Sus scrofa: one gene and its partner. The protein of the gene in region 2 purifies or fractionates together with the protein of the main gene of each other region. This does not show direct contact. Links are inferred from orthologs where the notes say so. Each region holds a gene or a part of one and is shown on either strand. Other genes may lie near its edges.

Region 1 (4,197 bases), on a different chromosome or scaffold from region 2:
ATTCAGTTGAATAATCCAGTAGCTAGAAATTTACCCCTGACTCACCATGGTAGAGCAAGTAGTATAGTCTCTAGCCTCGAAGGCTGTTGTTACCCATCCAGGGGCACCGCAAACACATGCTGGATACATCAACTAAGTGCCTAAATAAAAGCTAACCTAATCCCGATTAACTGTAGGCACCACTATCCCCCTTAATCTATTTGGGAGTGAGGCGGCCCCAGCTTAAAGCTAGGAGGAGGTAGCATTGCAAGCCCATTAAAAGAAAGTACCATGCAGTAAAACACATTATGCCTAGAGAGCATCAAGTTCCCATATGGCTAAGCTAGCTATTTGCACCAAGTACTTGGATCACTGGATACCTACCACTACCACCGCCAAAGCCGCCTCCGCCTCCTCCGTTGTTATAGCTGTCATAGCTGCCACTCCCGCCATAGCCACTGCCCTGGTTTCCATAACCCTGTCCACCACTTCCATAGCCTCTGCTTCCTCCAGAGTAACCAGGGCCGCCTCCTCCATAACCACCTACAAGAATACAATTCTTCTCAATAAGACACAAGTATTCAACATTCAAATTCTGTGCAAGCATGATGGCTAAAGGCCGGCTCACAACATGCTGTAAGAGTCAAACTTGAACTTATCATGCACTAAAGTTTTAGTATCTACTAGCCTATTCTAAAAGTAGTCAAACTTTTTACCTGTAGTTTCTTAAAAAACAAAAAAATCCAACAACAAAACGAACTAAAAAAACCCACACACGCACACACAAAATTTTAACAGTAAAAACAAAAAAACTTACCGTCATTACCAAATCCATTATAGCCATCCCCACTGCCACCATATCCACCACCACCACGACTGCCACCAAAGCCACCTGGAACAGAATTTAAAAGCCAGGTTTGAAGTATGTGGATCGCATACAAATCACACCCTTCTAAGCCTAAATTCTAAGAAGCGTTAAAATAATAAAAAACCATACATACCTCGACCACTAAAGTTTCCCCCACGACCAAAGTTGTCATTTCCACCAAAACCACCTCCACGACCACCACCAAAGTTTCCAGAACCACTTCGACCTGAAGAAAAAAATGTTAACGTTAAATTGTACCGGTTAAAATCATTCAAAATGATGCTTAAGGTTTAATTAAGCAACAAACTCACCTCTTTGGCTGGATGAAGCACTAGCCATCTCTTGCTTGGATAGGGCTTTCCTCACTTCACAGTTGTGGCCATTCACAGTGTGGTATTTCTGAACTGAAAAATTTGAAAGTAAGACACCATCTCAGAGTTTAGGACACAAATGGATTTCAGAACTCTTAGCGAATGCCAACCACCTGCTACTTACTGACAATCTTGTCTACGGAGTCATGGTCATCAAAAGTTACAAAAGCAAAACCTCTCTTTTTGCCACTGCCCCTGTCCGTCATGATTTCAATCACTTCGATTTTCCCATACTGTTCAAAATAATCTCTTAGGTGATGTTCTTCAGTGTCTTCTTTAATGCCACCAACAAAAATCTTTTTCACAGTTAAGTGGGCACCAGGTCTTTGAGAATCCTAAAGGGGGAGAAAATAGTAACAATCCTAAGACCATGTTAATACTAAGTCTGTTACATCCCCTTAATGTGAGTGAATCCTGCTAATCGAACATTTCCAGTCGATGAAACACAAGAAAAACATCACTTACTTCTCTTGAGACGGCCCTCTTTGGTTCCACAACTCTTCCATCCACCTTGTGCGGCCTTGCATTCATGGCTGCATCCACCTCCTCCACAGTGGCATACGTGACAAACCCGAAACCTCTGGAGCGCTTGGTGTTTGGGTCCCTCATTACCTTTAATGTTTATTTAGCACATGGTAAGACACCAGAAGTTACAGCCTTTTCTACCTTGACTAAGGCAATGGAAAACTTTCTACCAACCCTCTAAACGAAGCTCTTCAATGACCACCGCCCCCACCCCTTAAACCTAACAATTGGGAGCTTTTCAGCTATGAAGCCACACCTTCCTTTGTCAAGTAAGCTATAAAGTCAATAGGAATCTTCATAAGCATTCAAACAGCAACGACAGCGAGATAAGCCAAGAAAAACAACTAGCTCTAAGGCCTTTTGTCTCTTCCAAGTCTTACCACACAGTCTGTGAGCGTTCCCCATTGCTCAAAATGGCTCCTCAGACTCTCATCGGTTGTTTCAAAGCTCAAACCTCCGATGAAGAGCTTCCGCAGCTGTTCGGGCTCTTTGGGAGACTAGAAGTAGGGGCAAAAAAAGCGTTAAATAGGGCTATAACGCAAACAAGCTCCCCGCTACAAGAAGCAACACCAGGTAGCAACGTACGAAGCTTTTATTGTTCCCTCGGGTCGCTGTAAGCCACGTGCTTCTCCCCATCTGGGGAGGCGGTATGTTGGGGGCTGGGAAGCGGCGAGCGCATGCGCCCCTTACTCTCCCTACGACGCACGCGCAACAAAAGGACTGGGAGGGCGTGCATCGCCAAAATTGGACTACAGCTACTCTTTAAGAAAGTCGTCCACTAGGACAAGGATGAAAAACAGACCGAATGTGTCCACGAGCATTGCAAAAAAGAACGAGAGCAGCGTGATAACCAAGGATTGCACGACGACAGCCTCATGGCGACGAGGACAAAATGGCGACCTGAACTCAGGGAGGGGTAGGCCCCGGCAGCGACCGAAGAACTGCCGAAAAGGCTGGTGCAAGCAGCCAAACCAGACTGCACCCTACCAAACTCAGCAAGCGGCGAAGAAGAAAACGCAGATGAAAAAAGAGTCTCACTCACCTCTGACTTAGACATGACGGTAGTGGGGAGGAGGTTACAACGATGCTTACTCGGCGGCGTCCGGGGGCAGAAAGGAGTAATCTAACGAACGAGTCTGCCAGCCTACCTTCGGCCTCGCTTTTTTATCCCGCCTCCTCGCGTTCGGCATTGGTAGACTCCGCCCCTGAGTAGCTCTGATTGGATATTTGACATAGCTTTCCCCCACTATTGGTCTCTCGTATGCGTTGCTGTGTAACGTCATCCGTTTGGGCGTTCTACGCAGTCTCAACCCCTCCCGGTCCATTGGTTCCTAAGTAATATTATTCTTAACTAGACTGATTGGCTGGTCAACCAATGATTCATATTTGAATTATTTCGGGTATTGAGATAACTTTTTAATTAGCTATGTCCGGAATATTCAACGCCTGTGTCAAAGCATTTTTAATACTATGTATCAAAAAAGTAGCTAGCATGTGACAATTTGGCGGAACGGGGGCGGGGGCAAGATCGCCTGCTGAGCGCATGTGTAGTAAAATGGCGAGTTTACGCAGGCGCGCTAAGAAGTTCCGCCCGGAGCTTGCAACACGTGAAATGGCGGGCAGGAGACAGCGGCGAACCTAAGGCGCCTGCGTAGTGGCGGGAGTTGTGCCCCCTTTTGCGCAGGCGTAATGGGCGGGGAAAGGGTCGGGTCCCAGGATTGGTCGCGCAGGCGCAGGGAAGGATCCGTTTTGGCGGGCGGTTGGCGTTGCGCAGAAGGCGGCGGCGGCGGTGGCTTGTGGTCCGGCCGCACCACAGAGGAACAGGCGAGGCGTTAGCGTGAGTGATCGGTCTCGACCCCCGGTAAGTGGCGGACCATCTTGCCTACCCATACGAGGTCTTGAACTGACTCCAACTGGGCCCGTTATTGTGTGAAATGAATGGACCTCGGGGTGGGGGCTCGTGAAGGGGGAGCGGTGAGATCGGCCAACCAATGGAAGAACGGGGGCGGGATGTTTTATCCCCGTAGGTTCTGTGGAGCTTTGCAGCGGAAGAGTTTGACTGGCGAGTGTATAGGCCAATTGGGGCTGTCCTTAGCTGCCGACTCATCGGTCCTTGGGCCATCGGTATGTGGGAGGCGGGCTTTCTCCTCCTGAGCAGCATCTCACTGAGCCAATGAGCACGAAGCGCGCGGTAGGTTGGGCTCCTCCAAGAGGCCACGATTTGACTCCAATGGGGGATGCGGGAGTTGGGCGGTTAGGTGGATGGACCAAATCGGGAGCCAGTAGGCGAGCAGCCTCTGGAAAGCGCTCAGGCTGTTCGTCCAATCAGCGCTCCAAAAGAGGGAGGTCTTAGATTTGGGGATGCGAGGAAGGGGATTCAATGCCTGTGATGGCGCGTAGGGGCTATTTTATTCACAATGACTTTAACAAAACCTGTGGGCCTCCGTGCCACAC
Region 2 (6,193 bases):
TACCCATGCCGGTGTAATTATATCCTTCCACTCGAACCTTTAACAGTAAAAAAGGGGAAAAAAAAAAGTTGAGGAATTGATCTGGGTAATTCTGGGATTTAAAAAATTCGTAATTCAGAGTTCCTGCTCTAGCATAATGGGATCACCAATGTCTTTGTAATGCCAGGATGCAGGTTCAATCCCTGCCTGGGACAGTGGGTTAAAGGATCTAGCACTGCCGCAGCTGGGGAGTAGGTCCAAACTGTGACTCTGATCTGACCCCTGGCCTGGGAACTCCATATGCCATGGGGCTGCCAAAAAAAGGAGACCAAAACCAAAAAACAAATATTCCCCAAACCCCAAATAACAAAAATCAAACCAAAAAAACCCCTGTAACTCACTAGTCCATCAAAGGATAAGTTAACTTTTGAAGATATACTCTACACACCCTGAAAATAACAGCCCTAAGAGAATTCATGGGCTATCTTATAAAATAACAGGTAAATCACAAAAAGAACGTTCCCTGCCCTGAAGTACAACACATTAACATTTCCAAAGAGAAAATACTATTCTTTTAAAACCAAAACAAGCCTCAAAAGTCACATAAATGTAAGCAGTAATTTTTTAGTACCTCGCACATGAATTTCTGCCTGTTTTTATTCCCCACTGCTCTAATTTCATAGGATGGAGTCATCTTCCTTTTGCCACACCAGGCATACAGAAAATTTTTAACATCACCCATGATTCAAGAGTCTTCTTCAGACCTAGGAAAACAAGTTAGTTAAAAACAGCATTATTTATAAGAGCAAACACTGAAAATTACTAATCTGGAAATAATCAATAACAAGAATTTACTGAAAATCTAGGTTAAGTACAGAATATTCTATCATGCTGCTATTAATATTAATATTGCCTGTGATGAAATTTTAATGACATAGGCAAATAATTGGAAAGTCTGAGACTTTGTTTTGAGAAAAAGCAGAATACTAAAGTATGATTTGAGTGACACAAAAGTATGTATAAATCAAGACTGGAAAAGAAATATCCTCCCAAATGGTTATCTTTAGATATCTACAAGCGATTTTCGTCTTTTCTTTAAAGACATTTTATGTAATGTCCTACTTTTTACAATATTCGCTTTATGTGTTTTAACTAATTTAATCCTCACAACAGTAGGTAACACTATAAACTATAGCTTCTACTTTACAGTTTTTTTACGAGCAAGACACTAGACATAGAAAGTTTCAGTAACTTTTTCAAGTTACTCACTGTAGAAGGCCTAAATTCAAAACCAAACCAATATATTAAGAAATAGTCATCTGAAAAAGAATGGGTGCATTTTTTTTCATGCATCACTGAATCATTCTGTCGTACAGCAGAAATTATCAAATTGTAAATCAACTATACTCCTTTAAAACTTAATTAAAAAAAAAAAAAAGTTCCTGCTGTGGTCACTGGGATCACAGGTTCAATCCCTGGCCCAGCACCGTGGGTGGATTAAGAATCCGGCACTGTAGGCACTGCCGCAGCTGTGCCCTAGGTCAAAACTAGGGCACGGATATGATCCCTGGCCTGGGAACTCCAGATACCTCATGGCAGCCTAAATAAATAAATAAATGGAGAAACAGCCTTCCATCATTTTGTATATAAATCCAAGAGTTTATCCTCATTTGGATTATGTCTCCTAGAAGACCATCTGCACAGCAATAGGCAATGTTATTAAGTCCAAATATATTCTGTGCTAAATCTTTCCTTTAGGCCTTGTTACTCATTAAATTTGAGGCTATTACATTTTCCTTAAGTGCAACCTATCATAGTGATTGGCATTCTCCCTCTACATCAGTTTATAGCAAAAGATACGGATCCTGAGTCTAAATTACACGCAGAGGGATCTGAGACCAAATTCAGAACTGGAGAAAATATGCTAAGAATTGTTTGCTGTGATGTGGGAAGAAACCCCATTAAGCCTCTGTCTTCCGTTAATGTTTAGTGCATTTTGTTAGCACCTACATCTAGTTTCATCAAACTGAACCCTAGTACAAAAAGGCTCTTCTGTAGTCACAGGTTAACCCTGGGGATAACCGATTCATGAAAAGTTGTGGAAAACTGAAGATGTCTACCTACAAATTCCAACCATGAATAATTAATTTTAAAAACAAGCCCTCAGGGTGAATGGAAAACATGAAATAAGGACTATACTATCAAATTCCTTCCTCCCTAGTCTTATCTAACGCCATCATATTAAATATTAACTATAGACTAATGCTATCCAAATATACATTGAAAGTTTAGTCTTTTCTCTTTAAAAGCTCCAAAATCAAGTTCATCCATCTGCAGCACTTATGTATCCACCTGAATGCTAACATGGCATCACAGTTAAAACACAATTTTAAATTTCCTCCCTAAACCTGTTCCTCTTCCCTCTAATCCCAGTGTTCCCACCTCCTTAGGCGGCACAACCATCCACCAAATTACTCCTATCACCCATTTGGGACTTATCCAGTCCCTCAACATCCTCCATAACCATCCGTTGCAGTCTTTATTATGTACCAATCAGTATCCGTTAAGGAGCATTGCAGCAACTACTTCACTTAACCCATACACGACACTGTATAGCTAAGCATTATTACAGGTAAGTAAACTGAGAGAAAGAATAATTTGCCTCAACAGACAGAGCTTCTAATTGGGGGACCCAAAATTCCAACCCAGGTAGTCCTGATCTACTCTTGACCTAAGGCTCACTTTCGCCTCCAAACATGATTCCAATCTGTTCGCTTCCCTCCCCTCTCCCACTACTGCAACAGCTGGAGTTCAGCAACAAGGTCCTAAATAATTCCCATTTCCTTTGTAACCACGCTAAAATCCAATCTTCTTTTAAATTCTTCTCACCACATTCCAGTCACGTGGCCTTCTTTCAGTTTCTTTCTAATCCCTGCCAGTAAACACTAACTAATCCCCCTCCGCCTGGGGAGTTCTGCTTTTCTTCCACATCTTAGTAGTCGATAATCTCCACCCTTTGGGCGAGACGTCGGCTCAAATGTCTGCCTCCTCCGAAAAGCCTTCCCTCGCGCCACCCTTCCGGAAATGGCGCCCTTCCTTTACACTAAATCCTCCAAGAGCTTTTTTACCGAAACCAGCACTTGTTTCCACACGGCTCCCCACCCCCACCACGACCCCAACCTCTGAGAGAAAAGAGCAAGGACTGTGCCTAGCCTGTTTTCTGCTCTATCCGCAGAGGCCGCAGGGTACCACCCGCTATTTTCGGCACGCAGGCCTGCGTGGACGAACGAAGGGCCCTAAGCGTGGGCGGCGGTTTGGCGGGCTTAGCTCCCCCCACCCCGGGCCGATTCAGTCCCTTTCACTCTACGGCGACAGCGCCACCGCCAAGCGCAGGCTGGAAGAGGAAGTGGGGTTTGGCCGCTCCGGAGACGAAACTAGGCCTGCCTCCGCGAATAACTGGGGGCCAAATGGCGGCCTCAGGCAGCGCAAGCGCGGAGCGGCGTCGCAAGCAGCACGCAACCCGCAATCCGGGAACCCAGCGAGGCGGCTCTCCCCTCCCCCACCCGCCACCGCCGCCAGCTCCAGGCAACAAAGACCCGCTGCAGAACCCCGGGGCCTACGCCGTCCCAACCGGTAACAAAGACGTCTTCCCCTTACCGGAGTCCGATTCTTTGTGCCCGAGAGCACAGCTCTCTCAGGAACGTCCCTGGCTCGGGCCTTAGCGACGGAGACCAGACGAGCGCACCACCACTCGCACCGAGGCGGCGGCGAAATGGCTCCGACCGCTACGCTGTGGAGGCGGAGTCAGTGTGCTACGCATGCGCAGAAGGGGAGCGTGGGGCCAAGGGCGCCCGGAAGAGGGGCGGAGCTGCCGCAACCACGCGACGGGCAGCGTCCAGTCGCCTGGGAGATCCGCCGCGCCCTAGAGCGGCGCCGGGGCGGAGCTTCCTCCTTTGGCGCGAGGCCTCCTCAGGAGGGGCCTGCCGCATGTTTTTGGAGAATGTTTTGCACCTTCTGTCATAGGGACCTGTGGTAGATGAGGTGCCCCACAAAGACACAACTGGAAATCCTAGGTGGTAGCTTTATAGGGTTGTTGGTGATTAAATGAGATGGCTTAAAAAATAGAATAAAATAAATGAGATGGCTTGCGAAGGCGGCTTAGGGCAGTACCCAGCACACAATAGTTGTTCAGTAGGTATTGTAGTGATTCGGCTCCTCGAAGGTTAACATCCCCTAAATAGAAGTAAGCTCGGTGAAGGCGGGAACCCTGCCTGGCCAGCTCAGGCCGCTAAATGAAGTACTTGGCACATCAAGTGCTCAGTAATAACTAGTTTAATAAATAGAAACTGTAAAGTTCTTTTTGCTCAAATTGGATAACCTTTTGTATTCATAGTCTTCGGAGTAATTTATATCCTTAACTATTATAGTAGTCACTGCTAAATTTTTGAACTCCAGTGCTTCTCACGGAGGCAACAATACAAAATATTTCAAGCTGGGGTTGTTCCAGAGAAGCCAGACCAGTAAAGTATCAGGCCCCATCGTACCTAACATCCTTATTTTTCACCTCTTCCCTTTTTTTCCCCTAACTCTTCTAGCTCACTGTGATTAATCCCTTTAAAACTCTGTTTCTTCTACAACCAGAGTAACACAGATTAAAACATTTAAGTTAAACAGAGGAACGTATTTACTCATTAACTTATTTTCTCCATGTTTGCTCTCTTCAACTAGGAATAAAATCATCAGGGAAATACCTTAATCCTTTGTTTCCTTATCTCTCTCAGGATGCTTAAATCAGGAAGTTTTCATGATAAGGGAAACCCAACTAACATAAATGGATTGCAAATGTTTTGTAGTAGATAATGTACACACCAAAAACATCAACAAATTAAGTATAAAGAATATTTTCTGAGGTCGATCTTTGGCTCCCAAAGATTACAGAGAATTTTATTACTGAGTTGTTTATTAATTTAGGCCTTGCATCTGGGACCTTGAGTTGCCAGGGGATTGGATGCCAGCAATGGCATTTACCTTTGTAGGTTGTCCTTGGCAACTAGTACCTTCTAAGATCTCCCTTAACATTTGCAGATGAAGCATCAAAACATTCTCCATGAGTTCCCTGGTGGTTCAGCAGGTTAAGGATCCAGCACTGCTGCTGTGGTGTGGGTTAATCCCTGGCCTCGGAACTTCCACATGCCAGGGGCACAGCCAAAAAACAAACAAACAAAAAATAAGTTGGGAAGTTCCTGCTGTGGCTCAGCAGTACAACCATTCTGAAAAGAAGTAAGGTACTATTTAGTCAAATAGGGTGGATAAAATCAAACAAGTCTGTTTCTTGATGTATCTGTATATACACACATACATACATATGTATGTATTTTTTAAACAAAAAATATTGCCCACCATTCCAGTTCTACAAAGTCATTAGCCACTGCAGTCACCCATGGCCCACTGACAAAGTGTCCCGAGGGGGAATTCAGGATGGAAAAACAGCAAGTACTCTATTCTGTACTTTGGATATGCAGGCCTCTAGGTAGTTAAGATGTCTATCTAAGGAAGAATCTCAGTGACCCCAGATTCTTGCATCTTCCCATATAGAGAAAAGTATTAAAATCCTTAACTTGAGCAGTCTATTCTTTGAGATAATCAGTGATTTTTTTTTTTTCACAGCCCCACCTGTGGCAAATGGAAGTTCCCAGGCTAGGGAGTGAATCCGAGCTGCAGCTGCAGGCCTATGCCACAGACAGGGCAACAGTGGATCCTTAACCCATCTAGTCAGGCCAGGGAATAAACCCACATTCTCACAGACACCATATCAGGTTCTTAACTCACTGAACCAGAGTGGGAACTCTATTAGCAATAATTTTTTGATGTCCGACTGCAGGTATTTACCTAGCCCCCAAAAAATCATAAATATACTGGCTCCTTCCCTACATCTTTGGAGCAGTTTCTCAGAGCTGAGAGGCTGTCTCCCAGGCTGCAATCCCCAGTAAGACCCTGAATAAAACATACCTCACAACCCTCACAGTGTATTTTTTTCTTTTAGTTGGTATATGTATCTCAAGAAATTCTTGAGTAAGATATGTTTATTATATTATTTGTGTTGGCCTGGAGTTGGAGGCAGCTTGAGAACTCCTTTGATAGATAAAAGGTAATGGATGTTAACCAATGAATCCCATGCAGCAGTTATAAGAAATGAATTGGATAGTGGATATAT

Evidence for each region.
Region 1: the proteins of DHX9 (region 2) and HNRNPA1 purify together in Homo sapiens (affinity purification with mass spectrometry; 7 studies listed by BioGRID and IntAct, with this or other methods). This does not show direct contact. The link is inferred for Sus scrofa from reciprocal best matches to the Homo sapiens genes DHX9 and HNRNPA1.

Annotation. Positions count from the first base shown.
Region 1 is NC_010447.5:19,483,780-19,487,976, reverse strand, and holds the start of HNRNPA1 (heterogeneous nuclear ribonucleoprotein A1), read right to left. Parts: upstream 2,801-4,197; coding exon 2,786-2,800; intron 2,241-2,785; coding exon 2,124-2,240; intron 1,831-2,123; coding exon 1,684-1,830; intron 1,554-1,683; coding exon 1,343-1,553; intron 1,252-1,342; coding exon 1,159-1,251; intron 1,074-1,158; coding exon 981-1,073; intron 872-980; coding exon 797-871; intron 523-796; coding exon of another isoform or gene 364-522; intron 1-363. UniProt on the Homo sapiens protein: Involved in the packaging of pre-mRNA into hnRNP particles, transport of poly(A) mRNA from the nucleus to the cytoplasm and modulation of splice site selection.
Region 2 is NC_010451.4:124,139,530-124,145,722, reverse strand, and holds the start of DHX9 (ATP-dependent RNA helicase A), read right to left. Parts: upstream 3,795-6,193; 5' UTR 3,637-3,794; intron 750-3,636; exon of another isoform or gene 744-749; 5' UTR 722-743; coding exon 611-721; intron 38-610; coding exon 1-37. UniProt on the Homo sapiens protein: Multifunctional ATP-dependent nucleic acid helicase that unwinds DNA and RNA in a 3' to 5' direction and that plays important roles in many processes, such as DNA replication, transcriptional activation, post-transcriptional RNA regulation, mRNA translation and RNA-mediated gene silencing.